4 linked regions of the Arabidopsis thaliana genome follow. The protein of the gene in region 1 purifies or fractionates together with the protein of each later gene. This does not show direct contact. Each region holds a gene or a part of one and is shown on either strand. Other genes may lie near its edges.

What was found.
Region 2: the proteins of NRPB11 (region 1) and AT1G61700 fractionate together in Arabidopsis thaliana (co-fractionation; one large-scale study listed by BioGRID). This does not show direct contact.
Region 3: the proteins of NRPB11 (region 1) and AT3G23325 fractionate together in Arabidopsis thaliana (co-fractionation; one large-scale study listed by BioGRID). This does not show direct contact.
Region 4: the proteins of NRPB11 (region 1) and AT4G14342 fractionate together in Arabidopsis thaliana (co-fractionation; one large-scale study listed by BioGRID). This does not show direct contact.

Annotation. Positions count from the first base shown.
Region 1 is NC_003074.8:19,315,442-19,323,368, forward strand, and holds NRPB11 (DNA-directed RNA polymerase, RBP11-like protein), read right to left. Parts: upstream 3,683-7,927; 5' UTR 3,558-3,682; coding exon 3,505-3,557; intron 3,424-3,504; coding exon 3,334-3,423; intron 3,245-3,333; coding exon 3,166-3,244; intron 3,060-3,165; coding exon 2,970-3,059; intron 2,882-2,969; coding exon 2,786-2,881; intron 2,661-2,785; coding exon 2,628-2,660; 3' UTR 2,408-2,627; downstream 1-2,407. Other genes in the region: chx28 (cation/hydrogen exchanger 28), read left to right, coding at 1-898, 992-1,597, 1,671-2,294; AT3G52100 (RING/FYVE/PHD-type zinc finger family protein), read left to right, coding at 3,902-3,933, 4,049-4,388, 4,467-4,520, 4,662-4,836, 4,915-4,964, 5,075-5,167, 5,248-5,336, 5,420-5,498 and 5 more; AT3G52105 (DIS3-exonuclease-like protein), read left to right, coding at 7,729-7,779, 7,860-7,927.
Region 2 is NC_003070.9:22,785,246-22,790,796, reverse strand, and holds AT1G61700 (RNA polymerases N / 8 kDa subunit), read right to left. Parts: upstream 3,786-5,551; 5' UTR 3,693-3,785; coding exon 3,657-3,692; intron 3,537-3,656; coding exon 3,478-3,536; intron 2,897-3,477; coding exon 2,802-2,896; intron 2,711-2,801; coding exon 2,685-2,710; 3' UTR 2,417-2,684; downstream 1-2,416. Other genes in the region: AT1G61710 (Cysteine/Histidine-rich C1 domain family protein), read left to right, coding at 221-681, 903-1,285, 1,574-1,938; AT1G61690 (phosphoinositide binding protein), read left to right, coding at 4,015-4,128, 4,484-4,652, 4,740-5,551.
Region 3 is NC_003074.8:8,342,120-8,349,903, forward strand, and holds AT3G23325 (Splicing factor 3B subunit 5/RDS3 complex subunit 10), read left to right. Parts: upstream 1-3,650; 5' UTR 3,651-3,688; coding exon 3,689-3,694; intron 3,695-3,878; coding exon 3,879-3,964; intron 3,965-4,048; coding exon 4,049-4,172; intron 4,173-4,247; exon of another isoform or gene 4,248-4,537; intron 4,538-4,689; coding exon 4,690-4,737; 3' UTR 4,738-5,023; downstream 5,024-7,784. Other genes in the region: AT3G23310 (AGC (cAMP-dependent, cGMP-dependent and protein kinase C) kinase family protein), read left to right, coding at 115-246, 336-449, 563-610, 746-830, 922-978, 1,082-1,236; AT3G23320 (Polynucleotidyl transferase, ribonuclease H-like superfamily protein), read left to right, coding at 2,510-3,085; AT3G23330 (Tetratricopeptide repeat (TPR)-like superfamily protein), read left to right, coding at 5,081-7,228.
Region 4 is NC_003075.7:8,250,629-8,259,143, forward strand, and holds AT4G14342 (Splicing factor 3B subunit 5/RDS3 complex subunit 10), read right to left. Parts: upstream 4,977-8,515; 5' UTR 4,778-4,976; coding exon 4,772-4,777; intron 4,543-4,771; coding exon 4,457-4,542; intron 4,369-4,456; coding exon 4,155-4,368; 3' UTR 3,872-4,154; intron 3,209-3,871; coding exon of another isoform or gene 3,161-3,208; 3' UTR 2,908-3,160; downstream 1-2,907. Other genes in the region: CKI1 (casein kinase I), read right to left, coding at 59-154, 231-379, 470-539, 806-846, 947-1,040; AT4G14350 (AGC (cAMP-dependent, cGMP-dependent and protein kinase C) kinase family protein), read right to left, coding at 5,821-5,933, 6,028-6,084, 6,194-6,278, 6,769-6,816, 6,988-7,101, 7,197-7,328, 7,486-7,570, 7,657-7,736 and 3 more.

The sequences.
Region 1 (7,927 bases):
TGTCATGGGTCTAGAGATGAATCCAAGCGTTCTTCTCAGACCACCAACCAAAGATGCATTCATTGCCTACACAAGCATGATCACGACCTTTGTTCTCGCCTTTGTCACAACTCCTTTCCTCCACTATACCAAAACTTCTCCTTACATTTTCTCCCTCGCCCTCTCCCTCATGGCCTCAAGCACCGGTTCTCCTATCCTAACCCGCGTCATCGCCAATCTCAAAATCAGAAAATCCGATCTTGGAAAACTTGCATCAGCCGCAGGTGTCCATACGGACATGATCTCTACCTTGCTTTACTGCTTCGGCTTCATTTTCTTCCCTACGGAGAAACCTCTCGCTCGTCCTCTCCACAGATTCTTCAGAGCCCTCCTCATGTTTTGCCTCTTCCTCGCTCAGGTCACTTTCACTTCCATTGTATCCCCAATCTTTCTTAATTGGGTCAACAACGAGAACCCTGAAGGTAAACCACTCAAGGGGTCACACCTTGTTATGTCCCTGGCATTTGTCGTCTTGATCTGCAGTTTCCCAACTTGGCCACCTGAATCAATGTACAACCCAATTCTCAGTGCATTCACGGCTGGTCTCTTCCTTCCAAACAAAGGAAGAATGTCGAAATGGATCATCAACAAAATCAATTACTTGCTCAGCACGGTCTTCTACCCTATCTTCTTCTTCTGGGTTGGATTCATAATCCACATGAGAAACTTTGACATTACTGACAAAATGGCGTGGGTAAGATTCTTTTCTCTTCTTGGCACTGTTATAGCCGGAAAAGTCACCGGAACAGTCTTGTGTGGTTTACTACTCGGTTATCATGTCCCGGAAACCGCATCCTTAGGACTGCTTTTGACCACTAAAGGCCATTTTCATGTCTACTTGGCAGCTTTAGCCATTCGGGTACCATCAAGCTTTCTCTTTATGTTTTGTTATTTAAGCTATCATCAAAGTAAGATCTTTACTCTCTTTCTTTTTCGTTTGATGCAAATGCAGACTAACAGGGTGAAAAGTACGACCGGTGCATTGATCATATTTATCATTGTCTTCACGGTGGTCTACTCCCCATTCGTGGTCATGGACATCATCAAACGCGCTAGAAAGCGGGTGCCTGTGCACATCATGGCGCTTCAATGGCTCGATCCAACAACTGAACTTCGGATCTTGATTGGTCTCCACGGTCCCCACAACATTGGTTCTACGCTCAACGTTATGGAGATCTGCCATGGTGGCCGTGAGCCGGGTTCCATATTCTATGCGACTGACATGGTGGAGTTGACTGATGAGATTGCAGCCACGCTGAAGAAGGGCGGAGGAGCCGGTCAGAGTAATGATTCAGTGACGGTAACGGATAGGTCGGTGACGGAAATGAGAGAGAGTATAACGGCAGCTGTGAATGGGTACGGAGAGCTCCGCAATGGACAAGGTGTGACAGTGCGGCGGATGCTGGCGTTGTCCACGTTTGTGACCATGGCCCATGACGTCTGCGGTTTGGCTGATGAACTTATGGTTTCCATTATAATTCTACCGTTCCATAAACGGCTGAATCCTGATGGTACTCTCGATGCTGGTCATGCTGGGTTCCGTCATGTGAACCGCAAGGTAATTGTTCCATCTCAGTAATACTCTGTTTCTTTCAGTTCTCAGAGAGATAATTTGGCATTTGTGTGTGCAGATTCTGAAGAACGCACCATGTTCAGTAGGAATTCTTGTGGATAGGTCGTTCGGGCAAACAGAAGAGGCATGGAGACCAGGAGCGTCCATGGGCATTGCTATAATATTCATAGGTGGCAGAGACGACCGAGAGGCACTAGCCTTCGCTGCACAAGTGGCTCGACATCCTGCTGTGAAATTAAAGGTTATACGTTTCTTGGAAGACAAGAGCTCTCAAAACGCACAAAAACGAAGCAGCATCCTGAACAGAGCGAGTGTGGTAGATCAAGAGGAGGAAATGAAGCTTGATGATGAATGTTTTGCTGAGTTCTACGAAAGATACATAGCTGGAGGTGGAAGAGTGTCTTACATGGAGAAGCATCTCACCAACTCCTCTGAGACTTTCACAGCTCTTAAATCACTAGATGGAGAGTATGGGCTGGTGATTGTAGGAAGAGGAGGGGGAAGAGCGAGCAGTGGGTTAACCACCGGCCTCAACGACTGGCAGCAATGTCCAGAGCTTGGTCCCATAGGTGACGTTCTTTCAGGATCAGATTTCTCACACAACACATCAATGTTAATTATTCAGCAGCAGCGTACTCGGGGTCAGCTAGAAGGGCTTCATGATGACTTCACTATACTGTGAATATCTGTACAAATGCACTTTACTTAGTAGCTTGGGAAGAGTAGTAGCTTCACCATCACAACTCTTAAAGAGACTTTGTACAATAGTTCAAACATTAAGCGGTTTATGTAGATAGAATGGTAAAAAGAAGAGGTAATCTAAGCATTACTTCATAGCATCCTGAAATGGTGTTGAAACATAGAGTTAAAAGAAGTTACAGGCCGATTTGTTTTTGATTTATACAAAGCATAACTAGGGAAAATTTCCCAAGCTCATTATTAGTCTTGATTGGTGCTTAGCAAAAGACAATGTAAAACGTTTTCCCCGATGTGCTGATGGAGAACTCCAAGTTCCTTAAAACTGATTCGAAAACTTGGCCACCTCTGCCTGAAAACACAGAAGGGTATACCATAAGACCAGGTACATCAAACAACATCAATAGCATTTGATATTCGTCTAGCTTATTAACCACATAATCAGATAAGTATATCCGAAGAGAGAAACTTATGTACCTCAAACTGGTTCTTCAAGTAGTCGAGCTCCTTGTCCAAGTCATTGATGGCCTGGTTGTATGCTTGCATTGGGGAAGACTGGCTTGTTGTGTGAATCTACATACAGAAACCACTTTCACAATTAAACAACAACATACAAGATCTTTCTATAAGTCCTTAAGCAACCAGTAATCCCAGAGGAAACTGTTAACACTAGAAGCTTAAACCAAGAAATATTCACGGTTTCCAAACAACCATACACTACTTTTAAGTTCCTAAACCAATCTTTTGGATCCTAAGGTCAATCAATGAACTGAAAAAAACGCAGAGGATAGCATTGTTCTTTCCAATTCAAAGCAACAGGCTCTACAGTAGAAGCAACTGAAAAACTTGGAACTTACCCTCACTATGATTTTGTACTTAAGAGGATGAGGAAGTTGGTATCCAGCAAACAAGACATTCTCGTCGCGATGAAGTTGCCTAAAACAAAAATTTCAGAACAGAGCTGACAAAAATTAGGGCTTTCTTCTTTCTGAGAAAAGAGTTGCAAAATCAACAAAAAGACGTACATGCGGACAATGTTTCCAATCGTATGGTCTTCTCTCTCAACCGTGAAGGAAGCAGCATTGATGATCTTCGTATCCCTATCATAAGAAACCCTAGAACATAGAAATCGAGAGGGTTTAGCACATGTAAGAGGACTATCGAGTATGATTTCGAGTGATAGAAACTTCAATTACTTCTTGGTGCCTTCAGGGACGACGAATCGCTCATATCGTTCGGGAGCATTCATGGCTTAATCGGAGATTTCAAGCTTCGCTCTCTTTTTCGCCGCAGAGAGACAGTCAAGAGTTCTTCAGTTTCTTTCTGGCAAACAAAATATAATACGACGTCGTTTTTCATAAAAGAAAAAAGATCGAATCTCCACGTGTTATATTATTATTGGTGTATACAGTTTGGGTCGGATCGGGCCGATAAAACATAATATTTCCGTTTAAGGACCTCTAGGTTTATATTATTTACACAATAAAGGACGAGTGATTTAATTCAGAAACCTAACAAAAAATTCAGGAAAAAAAGAAAAGAAGTCAGATCCCTAAAAATCGAACCCGAAAGCGTAAAACTTGAAAACCGACTATGGCCTTTCACGTAGCTTGTCCAATTACATGGTATGTTTTTTTTTCTTTCTTTTGGCGCCTCCTTTACTCGTTGGCTTGTTTGTTTTTACTAATCGAATTGTTCTAATTTGGGGGTTTTCTTCTTTCTTTCGTTCTTTCTCCGCAGCCGGAAAATTTGCTTCTGCGTTTTGGGGTTTTCTCGGAATCTTCATGGTAATGAAGTCAAGGATGTGTATCTCAAAGAGATCCATTCTCTTCAGGAGTTCGTGCGAAACCCCTGGGATGCTGAGGTTTCCAAGGACGGTACCGTTCAGATCCATGTGCCTAAGCTTGCTGTTTTCGATACTGGTCCTCGCATTGCGGCTAGAAATGTTGGTGTTGGGAGTGATTCGGCGATGGAGGTTGTTGCTGCATCATCGAATTTGGTACCAGCTAAACGCACCTTGGTGTTGCAGAAGAAGGCTGTGGAAGTTTATGCTGCGAATGATTGTTCTGGCGACTTAGAGGTTCGAATTCTTACTTGCGAAACTTGTTTTTGTGGTTAGGGGTTACTGCTATGTCAATTGAATTGAACTTGTTTATAGGAATCTGTCTTTGTGAGAAAACGTGTTTTCAGTGATGTTGATTATCTGTATCTCGTGTATGTGTTTTGGTGTTGTCCTGTCTTTTCGGGTTCTGTAATCTATGATTTATATGTAAACTACTTGTGATTTTTTGGATGATTATGAAGTCTATTCTCGTCAAGACACTAATTCAATGTTATGTCTTTCTCTATGTAGGTTTCAGTCAAAGACCTCAATGAAGAAGATCATGATCATCACAGTGCAAGCATAACATGTCACATGTGCTATTTGGTTGAAGTTGGGAAGAGTGAGAGAGCCAAGATGCTTTCTTGCAAATGTTGTGGGAAGAAGTATCATAGAAACTGCGTGAAGTCTTGGGCCCAACATAGAGGTATTGTTTCATAGGAATCTATTGTTTATGACTTATGAGTCTTTCTGCCTAGATTCTTATACCGGTTTTTGCTAGCAGATCTTTTTAATTGGAGCTCTTGGGCGTGCCCATCTTGCCGAATCTGTGAGGTATGTTCGGACACAACTTTGTGCTCAATGATTATTCTTGCTCTTTACATGCTGGGCTAGGTATGACTGCTGCTTGATTATTTGTATTCTTTTGATCATTTTTCCTTTAGGGCTGCGGGACTTTAGGGGATCCAAAAAAGTTTATGTTCTGCAAAAGATGTGATGATGCATATCATTGTGATTGCCAACATCCTCGGCACAAGGTATAGTATTTATTGCGTCTGTATAAGGTTCTTATCTTATCTTTTGCAAATTGGTTTATTTTAATCTCTGAATATTACAGAATGTTAGTTCTGGACCCTATTTGTGTCCTAAGCACACCAAATGTTACAGTTGTGAGTCTACAGTCCCTGGGAATGGCCAGAGCTTACGGTATTTAACTTTTTGCCTTGTGATACTTGAAATTTATTCATGTAAAGTGCACTATCTCTTATTATTCCTTCTAAACTTTGCAGGTGGTTTTTGGGGCATACTTGTTGTGATGCTTGTGGAAGGTTGTTTGTTAAGGGGAATTATTGTCCTGTATGTTTGAAGGTATATTTACATATTCTCCTCCTCGGTGATAGGAAAACGTGCGCTCTGTTTCCAAGCATCATATTTAGATATTCTTGGCCATAATTAATAGAGTTATGTATTTTGGAGTTGTTACCCTATACTATCCAGACATCTGTATTGCAAAAGCAGTTATTTGCAGAATTTTCTTACATTCTTTGAATTGACAAATTATTTTGATTTCATCACGTAGGTTTACAGGGACTCGGAAGCAACGCCAATGGTGTGTTGTGACTTTTGCCAGCGCTGGGTTCATTGCCAGTGTGATGGAATTAGGTACATATCGTTAATGAAATTGTACTTCTGTGTCCTGTAAGCATGTCTCCCAAGTGTGTATCCAAATACTTTAAAATAACGCTAACTTTGTAAGCTACCATCGCAGCGATGAGAAATATATGCAGTTTCAAGTGGATGGGAATCTTCAATACAAATGTTCTACTTGTCGTGGGGAATCCTACCAGGTGTGTTTCATGGGTCCTTAAGTCTTTTTTGCTATCTCATATTTGTCCCAGGTTCTAGTTGATTGCTGTGAATGACAATTTGGTTATCCCATTTTCTCTTTTCTGATTTGTGTTTATGATGCCAGGTCAAGGATCTTGAAGATGCTGTACAAGAAATTTGGAAGCGAAAAGATATGGCTGATAAAGATCTAATTGCTAGCTTGAAAGCTAGTGCTCGGGTTGTTGGGCAAACTGGTGGTGCCCCTCTTATGAATCAGCCTGGCTCTGTGGAAAGAAAAGTTTCTGAAAAGGCTATGGTCAATGGTGAAGAAGAGAAGCCATTGAGAGTTCTCAGGATAAAAAGTAGCAGGCCTCAAGATTCAGATAGTGAGAAATTTGGAAAACACGCTACAGAGCTGAGCACTGTGAAGGCGAAAAAGTTGGTGATAAGTATAGGTCCTCGAAAGACAGGGGTTACAAACTCTACGAGCTGCGATGTATCAAAGACTGCCTCCAAATCAAATGGTATGTGTAGTGTCATTTTTGCATGTTCAGTAAACTTATATGAGAAAGATACACTCTGATTATTTTCGGTTTGTTCTTTCTTTAAAATTGGTATACATAGACATACTTATAAAGAGCTTTGGTAATTACAGGAAAGCAAGAAAAATTGCAAGCAGAGGAAACGTTTTCCCGGGAAGAGCGTCGCAGCTTGCTGGGAAAGAATAGTGACGAAAAGAGAGGGTCTCGAGGTGAAGTAACTACTTTAAAGGCTGAGGGCGGATTCATAGGGAGACACTCAGATGGTAAAGGAGATTTAAATAGTGGCTCGCATGATTCATCGCAGAAAGATTCAAGGCGATTGTTGAAATTGAAAATAAAAAAACATAATCCCGAGGGCCAAGAAAGTGAAGCCCCTAGCATTGTATATGAAAGAAGTAAATCTGGTAAAGGACATAGGTCAAAGAGGAAAAGAGCATCACCTCCAGCTGAGAAGTCAGCGTTCAATGAAGATGAAGATGTATCGCTGTCACGAGAAGACAGTTTGTTAGACGAAATGCTTGACGCTAGTTGGATTCTGAAGAAGTTGGGGAAAGATGCGAAAGGAAAAAAAGTTCAAATACACGAGGCCTCGGATGATTCATGGTATATGAGATTATATTGTTTTTTGCTATTGAACTTCTTTAATTATTCCAAGTCTCTAACAAATGAGGAACCAAAAAAACAGGGAGAAAGGAGTTGTAAGTGAAGTAGGAGGAGCTGGAGGCACCTCGAAGTTGATGGTGACGCTAGAGAATGGAAAAGTGAAGACGGTCGAGCTCGGGAAGCAAGGGGTTCGATTTGTTCCTCAGAAACAAAAGAGAACGAGAACGTGAGGCTATCTATTCTTGAGTATCCACATTTAGAAACAACATGAGCTTCTTCTTCTTCTTTATCTTCTATACATCTAGAATATGTATGTAGCTTGATTAGCTTCACGAGAAGAGGTACCTGCTTAGGGAAACAAGAGGTTTAAATTGTAAAAGATTTGAGAAGAATGAATTCAAACAAGCATTTGATGACTCAAGACTTGTAAAGTCAACCCAACAACAACACATGATGTAATTGCCACGCGTCAACAGACATAACGTAGGACCCTTCTGCGGATAAGAATTACCAAAAAATTTTACACAAAAAAACATTATTTGGATGAGAAATGAATACGGAACTAGGGAATTAAAAGTGTCGGTCTACAAATATAGCAGTAGATGCTAGAAATGGTAGGGAATCATATGAGTGATAACATAAAGTTAAAATTGAGTTTGGGAGTTGTGGAATTAAGGGTAACACGTGATAATGAAACCAATCTTCTTATCTCTTCTTCACTTATTGAATCATCTAACGTTATTTCAATTTTTGTTAGGTACTTGTAATAATAACCCAAATAAAGCAAAAAAATAATAAAATCACGATCTGCGTTTCCCCTGAAAA
Region 2 (5,551 bases), on another chromosome or scaffold:
ATACAAAGAAAAGAACATAATTCAACTCATTTTCACGGTTAAGGATCCAATAATTAAACGTAGAAGGAGACCTTTGGTATCAGATTTTCTTATGTATAGTGGAAAACTCTCAAAACTAGTATTTTGCATTTATATAAAAAAAAAAGATCTTAACAGAAGTATAGTAAACAAAGACTAGGAGAAGCCATGGATTTCGGTGGATTTCATGAGGAGGAAAAGGATGGTAACCTATTTCTGGAATATCATCATCCCAAGTATCATCCCAAACCAAAAACACATAGCCTATCTCCATCCGGTGAAGCAGTCAGCGATGACCATCTTCTTCAACCTCTTTTTTTATGCCCAAGTGCACGAAAATTTAAAGATAGAACTGGGAATATTTTCCCGCTCAATTCTTCCCCCGAGTTCGTCTTCTCTACAAGAAGTGCTACATATCATTCAGTACTCCCGTTGTTTTGGTGCAACAATAAAGAATTCGATATTGATGGTGGATGCAATATATGCCGTCACTCAAATTTTGGCACTGACTATTATTTTTGTGACATTTGCACGAAAAAGTATCACAAAGAATGCGTCGAGTCTCCACTTAAAATCAAACACCCTTATCACCCTCAGCATTCGCTCCAACTTTACTTTCACTTCCTTCTTTACAGTATTAATTGTTTATGCTGTAGAAGAAGAGTAAACTTCCTGGTATATTATTGTACCATATGTAACGTTTTCATGCATCCAGTATGTGCAGTGAAGCCAATACCCTTTGTTATAGACCCACCAAAAAGGCATGCCGACCATCCTCTCACTTTTTTTCCTAGACAAACTTCTTTAACTTGCAACTTTTGTGGTTTGGTGAGAAAACTATATCCCACCTACATATGTGTCAGATGCAACTTTGTGTTTCATAGTGATTGTATGTACTCTCCAAGCGTCATCAAGATATCACGTCACAACCATCGTATCTCCTACACTTTTTCTCTACGATCATGTGAATGGTCTTGTGGAGTTTTTCATCAAATTATTGACGGTGATTATGGTGCATATACTTGTGATAAGTGTGGTCATTATGCTGTTCATTCGAGATGTGCTCTAGAGAAAAATGTGTGGGATGGAAAAGATCTCGAAGGTTTACCAGACAAAGATGATATTACACAAGATGTTGGATCATTCAATATAATATCTAAGGAAGTGATACTTCATTTTCTCCATGACCATCATTTCCGGCTCGAAGTCAGTATACTTTATAACGAAAAAAAACTTTGTCAAGCGTGTTATTTACCTATTTTCGAAGGTAATTTCTATTCTTGTGTGGAGTGTGATGATTTCATCTTCCATGAAACATGTGCAAAATTTTGCAGGATATTACAACATGCATTACATCCTCATCCACTAACATTAAAAGCTGCAAGTAGATATGGTATGGATCGTTTTGGATGCAGTTCTTGTAATCGTGGTTGTCGTGGCTTTGTCTATGAGTGTTGCATAAGGGGATGTATCTTCACTCTAGATGTAAAATGTGCTTCAATTGCTGAGCCGTTTTGTTTCCAAGGTCATAAACATCCATTGTTCATATTTGTAGGCCGAGACGGAAAACTCATATGTCGCGTATGCAAAACAGAACGTCATAATCAATTAAATTGCATCAAATGTGATTTTATTGTTTGTATGAAGTGTGCTACATTACCCTATAGAGCAAGGTATGAACATGACAAACACTTTCTCACAGCTATATGGGAAGAAGAGGTCCGTGAAAAAGATTGGTGCGAAGTATGTGAACGTAATTTAAGAGACACAAACACAAAAGTGTTCTATTGGTGCGTTGAGTGCTGCACCATTTTCCATATTGAATGCGTACTAGGTAAAAACTCGAATTTGAGTCTAAGCCAAACTCTCAAATTCTGGGTTCAGCGGGCTCAAATTCTTTTAGAAAATCTTAATCTGTAATAGACTAATAGACAATATTTCCAAGCATTCAGTGAGTTATATAGCTCTACCTCTCTATTCAAATGTAATTTGTTTTCTTCATATTTGTCTCCTTGGTTTGTGTTTGAAAAAAAATAAAATAAAAAAAGTCTCCTTGGTTTGTTAAGTTCAGTATATTGTTCAATAAACATATTTCAGAATAAATTTTTATAATAAAAATATATCTTAATAAACATTTGATCCAAAATAAATATATATTCAACTAATTATAGTGTATATTTAATATAAATATTTATATTTCTTTTGTTAAATGGTTTCCTTGAATTAATACAACCACTTGTAACTAAAAAACTTTGATATTCTCCGGTTATAAAATGGGAGCTCCATTCAAATTGTTTTTATGTGCTCTGTTCTCATTACCAATTTGATATCGTACAAAAAGAGCTGCTTCCTACTCGTGATCTAGATTGTAGATTTGAACCTTATCAAATGTGTGATCTTTACTATTTATCAGGATTAGATTACCAAAAACAAATCAATAGATGATGACTCTACAGGCTTGAGCTTTATTTTTGGCTCGAAAAATTGTCTAGATTTCTAAAACCGAACAAGAACATCAGAAAACATTGAAATATCAACATTCCTAGTTATAAATTAAACCAAAATTTCTGAAACATTGTGGTTTTATTAAGACGCCCACATGGATGAGATGCATCACTCCTTCACTTCAGCTCTTGATGATTTGTTATTCATTATAGCATCTTTTTTTAATTGGGGTCGGATTTCTCCATAGCTGCAAAAGAGAAGTATTCGAATAAGCAAGTTAACAAAAAGAATAGAGCAGAGGCAACACAAGGCAAAAGAACCGGGTATGGAGATATTACTGTTGTAGTTTAGAAGCTTTTCGATTAGATCGACATGAGTCATAAGCATACGCCTGCAGCAGTAACGGACTAATCCAAGCGCGTCAAGAGCATCCCTGCGTATTCCAAAACCAAAATTCAGATTTTCAGTTCAACAAAATGCAATTTTAGCATAATGCCTAAAACCAAAGTAGCTAAAAGATTAGATAGAAACAAGAGAATGGAATATATCAGTGATCACCTACCATCATGCTCTTTACTAACACTTAAGATAACATCTATGAACTTCAAGATGATCAAATTGCAACTAAAACAAAAACGAAATTGCGCAATTCCAAATCATGTAGCTTAACACCTAGAACCAAACGGGCTAAAGATTACACTAGCGATTAAAACAAGAAAATCGAAAAATCCCAATGATCTAACTTCATGCTTTTAGTAACAAGGCTAAAACATGTATAAACTTTCAAGATGATCATACAAGACAAGATCATGCAATCTCTTTGACTACACAAAACCATCAAATCATTCTATTGTCATGTTCCACTATTGTTTCATCTTTTACATGACTCTCATTTCAACTAAGAAAATGTCAGAAAACGTTCAAAATTCCAAGATTCAATCACTCTCATGTTCACCAAAAAAATTTCTCACAAATTATGATTCTTTTTCTAATCATAAACTATATATCGCTTACCCTTCAGCGTAATCAGCCTGGAGAAGTTCAAGGTATGTGTCCCATTTGTTCCCAATCACCTACAAAAAATCATAAACAAAAGCTTCATAAATCTCAATACTACAAACCCTAGAGATTTGTCACACACATATATATATAACAAATCGAAATCGTACAAAAAGAGAGAAGAAAAAACAAACCTTTCCACAAGTAAAACAACGAACAGGGACGATCATCGTGAACGAATCGAAACTTTAAGAGTTTATCGTCTCAAAGCGATCTTTAGGGCTTGTCTCTTTCTAACTTCGTTCTCGTCTCAAAGCAAAAATTAGTTTCATGTCTAATTATTATTGCTTTATATATTGAGTCCTATTATGTGTTTTAGCTAAAACGATACCGTATTAGTTAAAATTATTTATTTTATATCTGACAATAGAGGAGGAAAAGTATTCTTCTTCTTCTTCTTCTTCATCTGCTCGATCTTTTACATTTCCGGTAAGATCAAAATCAAAACCAAGTTCGTTTCGCGGCGGAGGAGAAGAAGAATCAGACGGGAAAATGTTGGAGAAGATCGGATTACCGCCGAAGCCATCTCTAAGAGGAAATAGTTGGGTCGTTGATGCTTCTCATTGTCAAGGATGTTCTTCTCAATTCACTTTCATCAATCGCAAGGTCTTCCTCTCTCTTAATTTCCTTACTCTCTCTATCAATTGGTACTTGCTTATTGCTATCGCGATCTTTAGATTCTTAGTTTCTTCGATCGAAATTTAGTTTCGTCTTAGTCGATTCTTCTTCGAGATCTAATTCAGAATCTGTTTATCGGAAAACTTCACTGAATGATCGGTTTCTGGTGATGTGCCTATTTGATAGATTCCATATTTTTGAGTAAATTTGGTGAATCTGGATGTTTTGTGGTTTGTGTATTACTAGACTTGTGACTTGCTGGATTCTTCTATGTCTCCCAAAAACCTTTGAATTTGCTTAATTTTTCTTAGTTTCTGTTGGCTTTGTTTTTTTGAGCGAGCAGCATCATTGCCGGAGATGTGGGGGATTGTTCTGTGGAACCTGCACTCAGCAAAGGTTGTCACTACGTGGACAAGGTGACTCACCTGTGCGTATATGTGAACCATGTAAGAAAATTGAAGAAGCTGCACGGTTTGAGTTGCGTCATGGTTACAAAAATAGAGCTGCTAAAGGTATTTATGTACCTATAGTGATCTTATTTATGACACTTTTGTGTTATCTGCTAGTTTTTGATGTAAAGAGATTGTGAATTTGTTCAGGAGGTAGCTCGAAAAGGACTGTAAAGAATGAGGATGATGTTCTCAGTGAGATTCTAGGCTCTGATGTTGATGTATCTTCTTCATCTGAATCTGTGTCTAGCACAGACAGGAATGCTTCTAAAGAAATGGCAAGTAGCAGTAGTAATAAAGGTATGGAGTTGGATGCTAGTCCTGAAGAATTGCGTAAACAAGCAGTAGAAGCGAAGAATAAGTACAGAATTCTTAAAGGAGAAGGGAAATCTGATGAAGCTCTAAAAGCATTTAAGAGAGGGAGGGAACTTGAGAGAGAGGCCGACGCATTAGAGATATCTTTAAGAAGGAACCGGAAAAGGGAACTGTCTATGCGAAATGTTGCTGAGACGCAGAACAAGGCTGCTACCAAAGAATCTAGCAAATCACAAAAGCCTCTACGTCAAGGGGGTAAAGGAAATGATGATTTGGCAGCTGACCTGAGGGAGCTTGGGTGGTCTGACGATGAAGATAAGAAACCAGCAACTATAAGTTTGGAGGGCGAATTTTCGTCTCTTCTCCGTGAAATTCCGCGAAGTGCTAATCCTCAGAAGACTGGGGGTATTGACAAGAGTCAGGTAATTGCCCTTAAGAGAAAAGCCCTTACGCTGAAACGTGAAGGGAAGCTTGCGGAAGCTAAAGATGAACTGAAAAAGGCTAAAATTTTGGAAAGGGAACTGGAAGAGCAGGAACTTTTGGGTGGAGCTGATGGATCAGATGATGAGCTATCTGCACTTATTAATAGTATGGATGATGACAAAGAAGATGATCTGTTAGCTCAATACGAGGGAAGCCATGATTTC
Region 3 (7,784 bases), about 11 Mb from region 1:
CTAGACTTCTAGTAATCTCAAATTTTTGCATTCGATTTAGTTCTTGATCTTCTAATGATACCTCTTTGGTAATATATGCACATCTCTGAATACTTGTTATTGTTTTTAATGCAGATAGTAAATTGGAAAAATTATTTAAAATTCCCTGATGAGGTTAGGCTATCACCAGAAGCCAAGGATCTAATTTGTAGACTTTTATGCAACGTAGAACAAAGGATTGGAACAAAAGGAGCAAATGAAATTAAGGTACTTTGTGCTTTATAATTCGAAGTTCCCGTGTCTAAAGACTATCGATAAATGCTTAAATAAACGCTTTCTGCTGGTATTTTTTGTAGGAACACCCTTGGTTCAGTGGTGTCGAATGGGAAAAGTTGTATCAGATGAAGGCTGCTTTTATTCCCCAAGTTAATGACGAGCTGGACACCCAAAATTTCGAAAAATTCGAAGAGGTAAAAACTAAAAGTGTTCGGATCAGAAAAACCGTTTGAAATGATAAGGCAACGGTCCAATGATGCGTATGCAGCTGTTGATATAGAAACTAATATAAATTCTTCTGTAACAGACTGATAAGCAAGTTCCGAAGACGCCAAAATCAGGTCCATGGAGAAAGGTACAAAATATTCTTGCTTTCATGTCTTTCTATGAAATGAAAACTTAGCTTGAAGTCATGCATATGAACTAATACTATGTGTTGTCATTAGCATTCTTAACATAAGAGTGTCTTTGTGTTTTGTTTTCTCTCCAGATGCTCTCATCCAAAGACATAAACTTTGTGGGTTATACTTACAAGAACGTTGAAATCGTAAACCATGATCAATTACCAGGGATAGGTAGATCTCACTTACACAACAAATTTGACTTGTAAGTAAACATATTCCATGTTTGCTCTGTTGTAATTTGTGATTGTGTTTACTGTTGCAGCTGAGCTGAAGAAGAAGAGCACAAAGCCAAAGCGGCCATCAATTAAATCCCTCTTTGGTACTTATCTAAAAGACATTTATCACAATCTATTTCAACTCATTGTCTGATATTAGCATATGGTTTTAGCACTAACAAGAATTGTTATAAAAACATTTGGCAGAGGATGAATCAGCCAGTAGCACCACAAGCCACCAAGGAAGCTTTATGAAACTCTTGCCAACACAAATCGAAGTTCCAGAGAAAGAAGACAAATCAAGCTCATCTAGTGAAACCCTATCATCTTCCACCACACGTTTCGACAATGCCACATCCTAAACCAGACTCTTTGCTACACTTTGGTCCCGGTTAACACACCAAAACACGGTTTGAGGTGGCGGATTTACGGTTGGAGATAGTACAGTTTCCATTGTGGCGGTGAAGGCTATTGTGTGAGAAGATTAAGGATTTGTTCAACAGTTTCTACATAGGATAATATTTGGTTGTTCAAAAGGTTTAGTTTGAAGCAAAAGGAAGTAAATAGTCATTTTCAGAATGTGGTTTTATTTATTTGTTTGATTGTTTTGTTTGGGTAAAAATCAAATTTGGTTTGTTTACCACACAGTTCTAAAGCGGACAATGGGAAAAATGTCAAAAAAATCATGAACTTTCAAATTTGGGACGAAAAAAACATGAACTTCCAAAATGCCATTAAAATCGTAAACTTTTGTTTGACTTTTGATAAATAGTCAAGTTTTGTTGACTTTGCCATTTTGAACATGTCGTTAAGTTTTCGTTAACAAAAAGATAACGTGATTAATTTTCTGTTAATTTTTTCTGTTAAAAGCGAAACGACGTCGTTTTGAAATTAAAGAAAAAAACAAAAAACAAACACCAAGTAGAGTTGAACTGGTGACCTTTTAGGTGCTATTGAAGGACTAAAACCATTGAGCCACGTTAACTTTTTAGAAGTATAGTAAACATATACATATATATATATATATACGTAACTAATTAAAAATAACCAACTAAAATAAATCAATAATATAGAAAATTACCTAAAATTTACACAATCCTTCTCATATGAATATAGGATTAATCTATACATGCACATAGAATTTCATTCAACTTCACTTTATATATAATTTTATTTATAATAAAACATATATTTTATAAATTAATTTGATAAATATTTAATAAAAGAAAAATATAAGATCATTATTCCGTCTTCAAATCAATTTTTTTATTCATAATTAGATGGAAAGTATATAAAAAGTTATTTTTTGGTAATATATTTATAGGTGTTATATTTCACAAGTTTGATTTTTATATAATTTAAGAGAATTTTTTTTTAATTCAATACGTTTAATAAAAAAATTTACATTGTTATTTGAGAATATATATTAATGGTAGGTGTATTTAATATTTTTACATGTTTAGTTATTGTTTTTATAGTTCGGTTTTTATTTGGTAGGTGCATTTTTATAATTTACATCATTTTTAATATTTTTATTTGCCATTTTGGTTAATATGGAGGATTTGGAAGAGCCGGAATGATTTAGTCTTCAACAAAAAAGCAATCGCTGTCGCTGATGTGATAAACCAAGCGATAATGGACACGAAAGAATGGCTGGATGTTAAGCATAAAAATGATGACAACGTCAAAGGGGGCCAAACCAAGTCCTCAAGAACGGACAAATGGCAAAAACCAGGAGCAGAATGGGTCAAATGCAATTATGATGTCTCTAACCATGCGGGAAGACAAGACTCAGGCCTCAGATGGATTATTCGAAACTCACAAGGAACCTGTTTGGACTGCGGCTGCGGGAAATTTCAGGGTCGACAAACAATAAAGGAAGCTGAATGCACTGCCCTCATATGGGCAATACAATGCGCTTGGGATTTGGGATATAGGAGAGTAGAATTTGAAGGCGACAACATCACAGTTAATCGCCTTATTCGAAACAAAGAAACTAATCCACGACTTCGATACTATTTGGAATTCATTCAACAATGGAGCAAAGCTTTCACCACTGTGAAGTTCACATTTCGACACCGGGAACAAAACGTTTGTGTTGATGTTCTGGCGAAAAAAGCAGTAGCTAATCATATAAATCATACTCTATATCATTTTTGTCCTAGATTTCTAATGTCGTTTGTAAACAAAGATGCTGAACACGTGAATTAATAAAGTTATTGGAAGGAAAAAAAAAAAAAATAGTTCGGTTTTTAATTAGTTTTGCGTATATATATATATATCAGTTTTCATTAATATCGAAATGTTATCATAGCATATTGGTTGAGCGCTTGTGATAATTTAGGAGGTTCACGAGTTCAATCCATTCTTGGCGCAAATTTTAATATATTTTTATTTTGAAACGACGTCGTTTCGCTTCTAACGGAAAATGTTAACGAAAAGTTAACTCCGTTATTTTGTTGTTAACGGAAATTTAACGACATGCCCAAAATAGTAAAGTCAACGAAACTTAATCATTTTATCAAAAGTCAGACGAAATTTTATAATTTTAGCGGCATTTCGGAAGTTCACGTTTTTTTTATCCCAAATTTAAAAGTTAATGATTTGGTTTGATTGAAATGTCCGGTTCTGGTTTGGTTTTCTTTTGTACCGGTTCTCATAATAATAGCCACGTATTAAAAATTTATTAGTAATGGATTTGGGCCAGACCCATTCTCAAAGCCCAATCAATTTCTCAGTGAAACATATATAAACCTAATTAAAGTGAAGCAGAAGTTGTATTCTTCTTCTTGCGAACTCGCTGAAGTCTGAAAGATGCAGGTTTGTCTCTCTCGATTCGAAACCCTAGTTACTTTTTTTTGTTCTTATCTCTAATTTTATACAATTTCTTGACGATTAAGCTAAGCGTAGCTGAAATCTGGGAACAATTTGCTTTAGTTCTTGTAAAGGTTAGGTTTTTAAGCAGCAGATAGTTATGTAATCTCACTTTTTTGTTTTTGTGCAGGCAAGTGATAGGTTTAACATAAATTCTCAGCTTGAGCATCTTCAAGCTAAGTATGTTGGTACAGGTCATGCAGATTTGAGCAGATTGTAAGTATTTTTCACTTTTTGTTTGGATTTTTCAGGATTCCAAAATTGTGAACTTATTGAAAATTTTGAATGTTTTTGTGTTAGTGAATGGACTGTGAACATTCAGCGTGATAGTTATGCTTCATACATTGGTCACTACCCGATGCTTTCTTACTTTGCAATAGCTGAGAACGAATCTATTGGTCGAGAACGTTACAACTTCATGCAGGTTTGTTTACTATCTTTCTTCTTGCATCATGTCAAGGAATCATATTGAGAATGTTAATGTGTTAGTGTCTTAAGGGAGAGGAACAATTAGGGTTGTTTCAAACAGGGTAAAGTGTTCCTGCTGCTCCCCTCTTTAGCTTGGAGAAGCCAGTAAATATCTTTCTCTTCAAGGAACTTGTGGGCCTCAAGAAAACCTGCTATAATTCTAGTTTTTCAACATTCCTCCTTCTGATATCAGCAACAACTCCTTACCCTTAAGAATGGAGAATGGAACTTCCTCAAAGATATTTACTTGGCCTCTGCAACCGGAAAGGGGAGCAGCATGAAACTCTTTTAACCCTTACCCTGTATTTGTCAAAAACAGATTGTATCATATCGTAAGTTAGCAGGAAACTACCAATCTTGAGGGTTGTTTCAAACTGTTATCTTCTGGTTCTTCTACACTCAAGAGTCAATGACTTTGCATTTTTGCTAATAGCTTTTACTAACTCCAAACTTCTTTGATTTTTTTTTTGCAGAAAATGCTCTTACCTTGCGGCCTTCCTCCAGAAAGAGAAGACGAGTAAGAGCTTGTGTGCATTTGAAATTAAAAAAAACATTCTACTTCTTAGAAGCTTGTGTGCAATCTTCTTTAACTGCTCCACCAATGTAATTGCCGAAAAGGCTTCTTCTTGTTTCTAGTTCATAATGCAGTTGTTGATCATGATCTAAACATTTGTACTTTGTTATAGTCTTGATACAATTGTCAAACTCAAAGTCTTTTTGCTACTCGAACAACTATTGCAAAAGAATTGAATTGAACAAGTCATAAAAAAAAGAGGTTAAAAGTTGGAGTATTTAAATGAATGACGAAAATAAAAATCAAACCTTTATGTTTGCTAATGGTGAATCTCTGAGAAGGAGACAAAGATGAGTTCATCAAAAGCCCTAATCAAAACCCTGATTAAGAATCCAACTCGAATCAAATCCAAATCTCAAGCGAAGCAGCTTCACGCACAATTCATCAGAACTCAATCACTCTCTCATACATCAGCTTCAATCGTAATCTCAATCTACACAAACCTTAAACTTTTGCACGAAGCTTTGCTTCTTTTCAAAACCCTTAAGTCTCCTCCTGTTCTAGCATGGAAGTCAGTAATCAGATGCTTCACCGACCAGTCTCTATTCTCCAAGGCGTTAGCTTCGTTTGTGGAAATGCGAGCTTCTGGGAGATGCCCAGATCACAATGTGTTTCCTTCTGTTTTGAAATCGTGTACGATGATGATGGATTTGAGATTTGGTGAGTCTGTTCATGGGTTTATTGTTAGGCTTGGTATGGATTGTGATTTGTATACTGGTAATGCGCTTATGAATATGTATGCTAAGCTTCTTGGTATGGGTTCTAAGATTAGTGTAGGTAATGTGTTCGATGAAATGCCTCAAAGAACGTCCAATTCTGGAGACGAAGATGTAAAGGCTGAAACTTGCATTATGCCTTTTGGAATAGACAGTGTGAGGAGGGTTTTTGAAGTGATGCCTAGAAAGGATGTTGTGTCGTATAATACTATCATTGCAGGGTATGCACAGAGTGGAATGTATGAAGATGCTTTGAGAATGGTTAGGGAGATGGGAACTACTGACTTAAAGCCTGATTCTTTTACTTTGTCTAGTGTGCTTCCGATATTTTCTGAGTATGTGGATGTTATTAAGGGGAAAGAGATTCATGGGTATGTGATTAGGAAAGGGATTGATAGTGATGTATATATTGGGAGTAGTTTGGTTGATATGTATGCGAAAAGTGCTCGGATTGAAGACTCTGAAAGAGTGTTTTCTCGCTTGTATTGTCGGGATGGTATCTCGTGGAACTCGCTTGTAGCTGGGTATGTACAGAATGGTAGATACAATGAGGCTCTGAGATTGTTCAGGCAAATGGTGACCGCAAAGGTTAAGCCAGGGGCTGTGGCGTTCTCAAGTGTGATTCCTGCTTGTGCTCACCTAGCCACCTTGCACCTTGGGAAACAACTTCACGGATATGTATTAAGGGGTGGCTTTGGCAGTAACATATTCATAGCTAGTGCACTTGTTGATATGTACTCGAAATGTGGGAATATTAAGGCTGCTAGGAAGATTTTTGACAGGATGAATGTACTCGATGAAGTATCATGGACGGCTATTATAATGGGGCATGCGTTACATGGTCATGGGCATGAAGCAGTTTCGTTGTTTGAGGAGATGAAACGACAAGGAGTGAAACCGAATCAAGTGGCATTTGTTGCTGTACTAACGGCTTGTAGTCATGTGGGGTTGGTAGATGAGGCATGGGGATATTTCAACAGCATGACTAAGGTTTACGGTTTAAACCAGGAGTTAGAACATTATGCAGCTGTAGCGGATCTTCTAGGCCGTGCAGGGAAGCTGGAAGAAGCATACAATTTCATTTCAAAGATGTGTGTTGAACCAACTGGTAGTGTCTGGTCTACCTTATTGTCTTCTTGCAGCGTTCACAAGAATCTTGAGTTGGCTGAGAAGGTAGCGGAGAAGATATTCACTGTCGATTCTGAAAACATGGGAGCTTATGTTTTGATGTGCAATATGTATGCGTCTAATGGAAGATGGAAAGAAATGGCGAAACTAAGATTGCGTATGAGGAAGAAAGGATTGCGGAAAAAGCCAGCTTGTAGTTGGATCGAAATGAAAAACAAGACTCATGGATTTGTTTCAGGAGATAGATCGCATCCGAGTATGGACAAGATCAACGAGTTTCTTAAAGCTGTAATGGAACAGATGGAGAAAGAAGGGTATGTTGCAGACACAAGCGGCGTGCTTCACGATGTAGACGAAGAGCATAAGAGAGAGCTTTTGTTCGGACACAGTGAGAGATTGGCTGTTGCCTTTGGTATCATCAACACAGAACCTGGCACGACAATTAGAGTCACTAAGAATATAAGGATATGCACGGATTGTCATGTCGCAATCAAGTTTATCTCGAAGATCACGGAAAGAGAGATTATCGTTAGGGATAATAGCAGATTCCACCATTTCAACCGTGGAAACTGTTCTTGTGGAGATTATTGGTAATAATGAAGTGTGAAACTTTTTTGACTTCATCTTTTGTTCAGAGACAGAAACGACGTCGCATAGGGAACATATGTTTCATTACACTTATTGTAGTGTTCAACCAATTTATATATTTTTCTATCTCTATAATTTTCTTATAATTAGGAAAAATTAGAACAAATCATGTGGAAATAGACCTAACAATAAAGTATTGTTTTAAAAGTAAAGTGGAATTTGCATGAGTTTTTTTTTGTATTTATTAAACAAACAATATATGGAATGTTTGGACATAAATATATATGATCTGTTGTGTATACAACAACAACAGACAGAAGCTGACCCATGCATACAAAATTTTCACATTATTATTCATTGCCCATAATAAATCATGGCCATTGGATCCCTTTTTGGCACTATGAACATTCATTTTCTATGTAGTGGAAAATCGACTAGTCGTTATACTATTATAAAATATGTTCACTATATATAAAAACCAACAGAATGGATTTGATTGTAAGTCAGTTTTTTTTTTTAATACCACTAAATTATTGCTATTTTTTTTTATTGCAATGTCAAT
Region 4 (8,515 bases), on another chromosome or scaffold:
ATTTATTCTAAAGACATCTTCAAAACATACACCAACTCATGCTGAATCGGTAGATTACCTGGTTTGCTCTGCGCCCAAGACCCATCAAAAAGTTGTCTGGTTTAATATCGCGGTGAAGAAAACCCCGCGAATGCATATACTCAACTCTACATATCTGCATTGATACAACATACTCTCAACGACCAACCTAACATCTTAAAGAAAGGGCATACTCATTACTCAGTACTTACCAATTGATCTGCAAGCATTAAAACAGATTTTAATGAAAATATTCGCTTGCAGTAATTGAATAAGTCCTCCAAGCTTGGCCCAAGAAGATCGATAACCATGCAACTGTATTCACCCTCAACTCCAAACCATTTCAGATGGGGAACACCCGCTATTTAACAGAAAGAAAATATATCAAGGTATCAGAGGCTTGGAACTAAAACTTCATATAAACTAGCAGAGAAAGACAAACCAAACTCACTTCCTCCTTGAAGAAACATATATATTTTCGATTCATACTGCAGTTGAGGATGCCTCGTCTTCACAGGTTCCTAGTGTCAAAAAAAGAACCATTATTAGACCACAAAGACAGAAATGGAGCTTGCATAATTAACACCATTTCTTTCCATAACAGAGCAGCAACCATCAGGAATAAGAAGAGAACAAGCTGCAAATTACACTTCTATTCCCAATCAAAACTAGTCTCACTTAAAACAAGCTGCAAATAACATTGATTCATTATCCAAAATTGAAACCTTCCTCAGCACAAAATCTATAAAATTTGAATGAAATAACTTAAACAAATTCGTAGTATTACCAGCTTAACTGCGACTTCTTCTCCAGTTTGAATATTGATCCCTAAATCATACACACATAGATTACACTTCAACAACAACTAAACAAACCCAATGCAAGAACTAGTAAACACTCTCAAGATGTGAATAGATTGATTTGATACCTAAATAAAGTTCACCGAATGATCCACTTCCAAGCTTCCTACCCAACTTAAACTTCCCGCCGATAACGTGATCCATCTTTTGATTCCGATCCATCTTTTTCCGAATTCCGATGATAATCCGATTCACCAGTAAAACCCGATTCTCATATACTTAATACGGTTCCAATCAAAACCCTAGTCGCTAAATCAGAAACTGGGTCCAAAGCAAACACAGTGATTGAAGGAAGCTGATTTAGTGGTGAAAGTTGAGGACTTTCGCAAGAAAAGAGAAAGAAAGTTGTTTTCTTTTACTTGGAGAAAGAAGAAGAATCTCTGGGGGGACAAAGAATTAGAAGAATCGGATCTGAGTTTGAGGGAAGATTTTGCGGAGATTTGCGGAAGAAAAGAGAAAGAGAAAGAAGAAGAAGGGAATAATAAAGAAATGAATATGTGAAAATTGAATTTAACCTAAAGAAAGACAAAACTTCAACGTAAATATTTATCATTCATTGAATCTTTTTATTTTATTTTTGTATACTGTTTTTTTTTTAATTACTTAGAAGAAAAAATTAGTTGTTTTCGTGCACGGTTTAACATTTAAATTCTCTGTTTTCTAACGACCAAAACTCTAATTCGTAATAACCATAAACATCACTTAATCAACAACAACACGAAACAAGTTTGCAAAACTTTATAATATATTTTTATTAAAAACAGAATCTACCACCAAAAAAAAAAGTTCTACATTTGTCATTTTTCAAGCTGAAATTTTCATTTTACGTTTATATATTTTGATACATTATTGGGGATAGAGTATAATCTCATTAAGATTATCACTATATATCTTGTGATAGAGTTATGTCCTATATTTTAGGGATTAGAGTATATCTCATAAGATGTCTCTCTTGTATAAATACTATACTTTGTGAATCAATAAAATCAAGTTAGTGCAATACCTAAGTCTACATACATCACCCAATTTACATTGATTTATTTAAGTTTTTTTTTACTCATTTACTAATCGTACCAATATGTTGATGAACATTTTTGGATTTAAACTGTCAACAAATCGTGTACTAGCGCAATATTATCATATTATCACTTTGTTCTATCTTATGATCTCTCGCTTGGACAGATTCTGGAAGTGCATGTAAAGGACCTGATTTTATAAAAGTTCAAACAATTTAAAAAAGAAAGCATCCATTTACTTGTGGATCTCCCGAACGCTTGGTAACGTCGATACATGGAACACTTGTTGATGAGTCTTGAGAAATCAAGCTCATACTTAATAACCAGTTTACATGTCGTTAGTAGATCTTCTCGATGAACTCATGAACACAGTGTGAAATTCATGAGTTTCTTCTATATGGTAATTTAGTAGGATAGCTAATGTTCTTCTATGCTATATTAAGCATTTTGTTTTTACTTTCATTTTCAATATGAAAATTAACATGTGTCTCTAAAGGTAAACGTGTTAGGACCATTCATCTTGAGTCAAGTGATATTTCACATGCATGGGAAACAAAACTTATTGATAATTGTATACAATGACTAAAGTTTTATAATGTTTATGAAACTTTCGGATTGTATACAATGACTAAAGTTTTATAATGTTTATGAAACTTTCGGTATTGTTAAAGTATTATGATGGTCAATGAAACTAGGCAAAAATAAGTCAAAGAGAATAAGAAAAATTATCCATAAGTAAGCAAGCTTATAATAGATGCGTATGATTATATCAACTATAGTGTTTATAGGCTTCCATCGTTGACGATATTACATTATTTATAGTTTAGATTTTAGAATACGTTTGATGAAATGGCTTTTGGTTTAAGTGGCCTAAGCTTTTTGCTTTTATTTGTCCATTTGTCACACCCGTTGTTTTCTTGTCGTTTGGACATCCCACGGTAAGAATTTATGTCGGGAACTTTTAACAAATCAAACTAGGCATGCAATAACGGTTATGTCGGATTATTCGGGTTTTTGGATAGTTCAAAAATTGAAAATTTTGATGAATTTGATTAAAACACGAAACCGTGTAAAACCAACCTAAAAATCCAAGGTGTTTTGTTTTTTACATTCAAGAAAAGCAAACTTACACAGACAAAGTTGTTTTTTAACAGTCATATAAATCTCTACCAGAAGATCAAATTGGACAGTTTTTAAAACTCCAAACCAACATTCCATCACACGAGTTCTTGATAACTTGAAAGACAAATCGAATCCTCATGTCACCTATTCCTCTTCTCTTTCCGGAGGAAGGCCGCAGGGTAATAGCATTTTCTGGAAATCAAAAGACATCTCAAGTTATTCCAAAACATCATCACATCTACAAAGTGTAACCAATTTTTTGAGCAAAGAACACCCCACAAATATTCATATTTTTCTATGCTTTTCGATTAACCCTCAAGAAGACCATATATTCAGATATAAGAGATCGCTATCACAAGATTATTCAACCATGTAAGAGACCTGTTTCATGAAAAAACTGAAAGCCAAGGCGAGCTCACAACTGTTTGTGAAAGGAACTAAGCTTCCATTAATTTGAGAATTGAGGACAAATGAAAACATTTGAGTGAGAGACCACACCATAACCTAATGCTCTATAATCTAATTGTAACCTACACAACTGGAGGCTGCTGAATGGTCAGTGAAATGTGAAGTCCATAGTCTAGGAAATCAACATATCACGACAAATAGAGAAATACGCCATTGACAAGACCTAAACTAAAACCATACAACAAATCAATGAATCTGAAAAGGAAAAGGAATGAGATATACCACAAGATAACCACGAAATGATACATTCCTAATCGACTACACATAGAATCATAATCCAAACCTTGAACTGTAGATTTGTCACTAGATAAAGGATGAGGCAAAAGGAAAGTACAGAATTTTACTGATAAGATTCCTATTAACACAGAGAATAGGAAGCAAACCTACATGAAATTCTAACCTATCACACATTTCAACCATGCAAGAGGCGAATAAACCGAAACCAACCGAGTTGAGTAAGACCATGACCCAACGCTCTCTAATATAATTGTATCCTACAGAACTAGAGGCTGCTGAAATAGTCAGTCAAAACTGAAGTCCATGGTCTAAGAAATCAAAATATCACGACGAATAGACAAATACGACATTTAACAGTAAACTAAAAACCATACAACAAAGCAATAAATCTGGAAGGCAACATAAGTTACATAACCATATGATACGCACCTAATCAAATAAACATAGAATCATAATCCAAATCTTGAACTGTAGATTTGTCACTAGAGAAAGTAATATGCAAAAGACATGAAAGGAGGCAAACCTGCATGAAATTGTAGCGTTCTCGTCCAATAGACTCGTTCTCAGCAATAGCAAAGTATGAAAGCATAGGGTAGTGACCAATGTATGAAGCATAACTATCACGCTGAATGTTCACAGCCCACTCACTGTACCATTTAAACCAATTCCACAAATTAGTAGCCAATAAAAACAATGCATATAAAAATTTGAACACTAAAATCAAAAGAAACTCACAATCTACTCAAATCAGCATGACCGGTTCCAACATATTTAGCTTGAAGATGCTCAAGCTGAGAATTGATGTTAAACCTATCACTTGCCTGCAAAAGAAAAAAACCCAAACCAAAAGATGTTAAATTTAAAGCAAATTGTTCCCGATTTCATCTATATATGCTTTATAAGAAACAAATCGACCTAATTTCGTCTAAGCCAATTCTCTTCGACATAGATAAATTAAACAGACAGAGAATCAAAGGTAGAAGAAGCTAATTAGGTTATTTCTTCTTCCAATTTACCAACAAAAGCTAGGGTTTCGGATCGAGAACATACCTGCATCTTTTTCAGAGTTTCGCAGCAACTAGAAGAAGAAGAAGAAGAAGAAGAAGAAGAAGAAGAAGAAGAAGAAGATCTAAACCCTATCTTTCTTCAAGTCCTTTATCTGCTAATTGTTTTCGGTTAATATTTAAATCCGAAATAACCGACCGGTTCGTTCGGTGTACCCGAAGTAGTAGATCATAAAATGAAAACGTGGTCGTTTCACATAATAAAGAAGTTAAGGCAAGAAGCTTGGAATTTGGCTAACAATTGTGGATTCTTTAATCATTATCAATCTACAGAATACAAACAAAAGTGGCTGTAGTTTAGTGGTTAGAATCCCACGTTGTGGCCGTGGGGACCTGGGCTCGAATCCCAGCAGCCACACTTAGTCTTTTTTCTTTTTTATACTATTTTGACATTTGAAGAAGGTCTCTTAAGGGCCTACGAATACTCATAGAGGTACATTTGTTCTCTACTTCTTTTGTATGCACTTTTTAGTCTTCAGTCTTCACACGCAATTGGTTCCAAAGGCCTACATATAGTGTAGACTGTAGACTTTTAGCACCAAATCTGAGGTGCCATTAAGCCATCTGTTTCACTCTTGAGTGTACTCAATTAAACACATTCAGTGAGAACAGTTTTTCAGATTGGCGCTTTTTCTAATCTAATAAATAGTAAATACTTTTGCTTATAGCATTAGAGGGTGAAGATTTCATCTTGAGGTTTAGTAGTACAACCAAGTTTTGATTAACCAAAAAAAAAAAAATCAAATACCAAAGCTCACCTTCTCTCCCTGTGAAAATAAATAAACAAGCCAATTCCGAAAAGAATATTTACTTTTTCACTTTTCTATGTTGAAAACAATTAAACAAATCCATCTTTCTCCTCTGGGAGAGCCTTCGCTTCCACTGGAGAGACTGTACTTTGTTGAAAAACCCCTGCTAACTCCAACTTTTAACAGTCGTTTAGAGAAAGCAAAAGGCTTTCAACGAAATCAACAACACACATGTTAATATAACAAGAGTCTTCTGGTTCAGGCTGTGCAATGTGTCAAATGAAATTCACCCGGATGAGCTCGACTTACTACCTTCTTTCTCTGGATCTTCAATCTGCGTCGGTAGTAGATTCAAAAAGCTTCCTTGGTGGGTTGTTGTCCCACCAGATGTTTCGTCTTCTGTTAATTTAGTTTCCACAGTTTGGTTAGAGAGAATCAAACATGGATCGTAATCATCTTGATTTTACAAATAGCATACAAACAGATGATTTACCAAAGAGAGATTTAATAGACGGCCTTTTTGGCTTATTGCTCTTCTTCTTCAACTCAGCTGCACAATAAAACAAATTACAAATGCAGCAAACATGCGATGATAATCACAAGGTAATCTAGTATTGTTGCTTCTTCCTCAGCAACGGAAGGGGGGTTAAGTGAATTACCTATCCCTGGTATTTGGTCATCATTTACGATTTCTACGTTCTTGTAAGTATAACCAACAAAGTTAATGTCTTTGGATGAGAGCATCTGGAGAAGAAAAAAAGAAAGCCAGCGTCATGTTATGAAATTCACAAGAATCCTTTTGGTTCATGACATAAATTCTATTGACAGAACAGGTTCTAAGTTATATCATGTTGGTCCAAAAAGATAAGTGATTCATCTAACACACGTCAACATGCAGAACTGGCAGATTAACAACATAATTCTGTTAGTAGCATCCCAATCAGCTCCAAATTCTAAATTACCATAAGAAAATTTGAACCTAAAAGAGTGAATCACGTTTTTGTGAATATAGTACAAAGATAGAAACGCCTGTGACAGAAACTGAGCCAATTTCATCATTCTGAGCTCTTTGTTGCATGTAATATTTTAAGCTACGTCTGTAGTATCATCAAAGAACAACATATCTCAAGGAACCCACTTATAGATAAATTTTGAAGTATGATCACTCTTCTATTAGATAAAAAAAAAAAGCTTGATGGTACATAATGCCAAAAAGTCAGTGCTTATGCTGTACCTTTCTCCATGGACCTGACTTGGCTGACTTTGGAACTTGCTTGTCAGTCTGTTCCAGAAGGAATCAAAGAAGAGTATACATTATTTTCCTTATCAGGAGCATAAAAATCATCTGTGATACCAATATTTCAGTATATACATCATGCCACATCATTTGGTGGCATATATTGCACCAATATTTCACTATAGACATCATTAGCTGATAGTATCAGTGTGTTACCTCTTCAAATTTCTCAAAATTTTGGGTGTCCAACTCATCATTAACTTGGGGAATAAAGGCAGCTTTCATTTGATACAATTTTCCCCATTCTGTGCCTCTAAACCAAGGGTGACCCTGAAAGAAACCAGTCAAATCGTTTTTAAGAATTGCACACAATGATCTTACATAAGGGAACTTTGAATCTCAAAGTTGAACAACGCATACAACACCTTAATTTCATCTGCTCCTTTTGTTCCAAGCCTTTGTTCAACATTGCATAAAAGCCTACAAATAAGATCCTTGGCTTCTGGTGATAGTCTAACCTCATCTGGGAATTTCAAGTAATTTCTCCAATTTACTATCTGCATAAGGGGGAAGATAATGAATCGAGAAGAGGTAAGTTTCCACATTAGAATTACCAAAGAGATACAAAAAGACTAAAATTAAATGTAAGACTTGAAATCGCCAGTCTGCCTTCAATATTAAAATGAAAGATTCAAAAAGGAATGGATTAATTACCTTCCTACAAGTTGTCATTGGGTCATCTGAATAAAAGGGCGGAAACCCCACAAGCATTTCATACATAATGGCGCCAAGAGACCACCTAAATCTCAAGATTATTCACCCATATTATTTATTTACACCAAAGAAATCAAAGACCACAAATAGGAATAGGTTGGCTTCACCTACCAATCACATTCCATTCCATATCCTTTTTTCAACAGAACTTCTGGGGCAATATAGTCAGGAGTGCCAACTGTGGAATAAGCCTGAAAGTAATGACCTTAACCTAGTAAGTCATATCTAACATAGATGTCTATATCAATGGAGAGAATTTGCTTTCAATAACGAAATATACTGGATACTGTGGACTACTCCACATCTCTGGAAGAAAAGATGAGGAATAAGTGAAACTTACAAGCATCCTTCTATTTCTCTGCCAGTTTAGTAATTGCTCTTGTTGGGTGCGTCTTGTCGCCACAGGGCGACCATCACTTTGTAAAGCCCCACTAACGTTTCTTGCAACTGTAAAGTCTTTCTCTTGAAGATTACTACAGTCTAATGGTTTACATAATCCAAAATCTGACAATTTCATGTGGCCGTCTTTGTCAAGTAGCAGATTATCAGGCTTGATATCTCTGTATCACATTGGAGAAAAAAAGACGTTTAGAACAAAATAACAATGGGAGCTAGAACTAAATCATATATTCTGCTTCACTGACCTGTGAATGTAGTTGTGCTTATGAATGGACTCAATAGCCAGGACAGTTTCCCCAATATAAAACCTGGCCTCGTCTTCAGTGAGGGTGTCTTTCCTCATAAGTAAAGTCATCATATCCCCACCAGGTAAATACTCCATTATGAGATACAAGTACTCTTCATCTTGGAAAGAACAATACAGTTTGACAATGCAATTGCTATCAACTTCTGCAAGTAAATTTCTCTCTGCTTTTACATGTTCCACCTGAAAATCAGATTCCACATTCACATCAACCAACTAAACAAATGTCAAACGAAAGCCACTTGAAGGAATTTAAATACCTGGCCT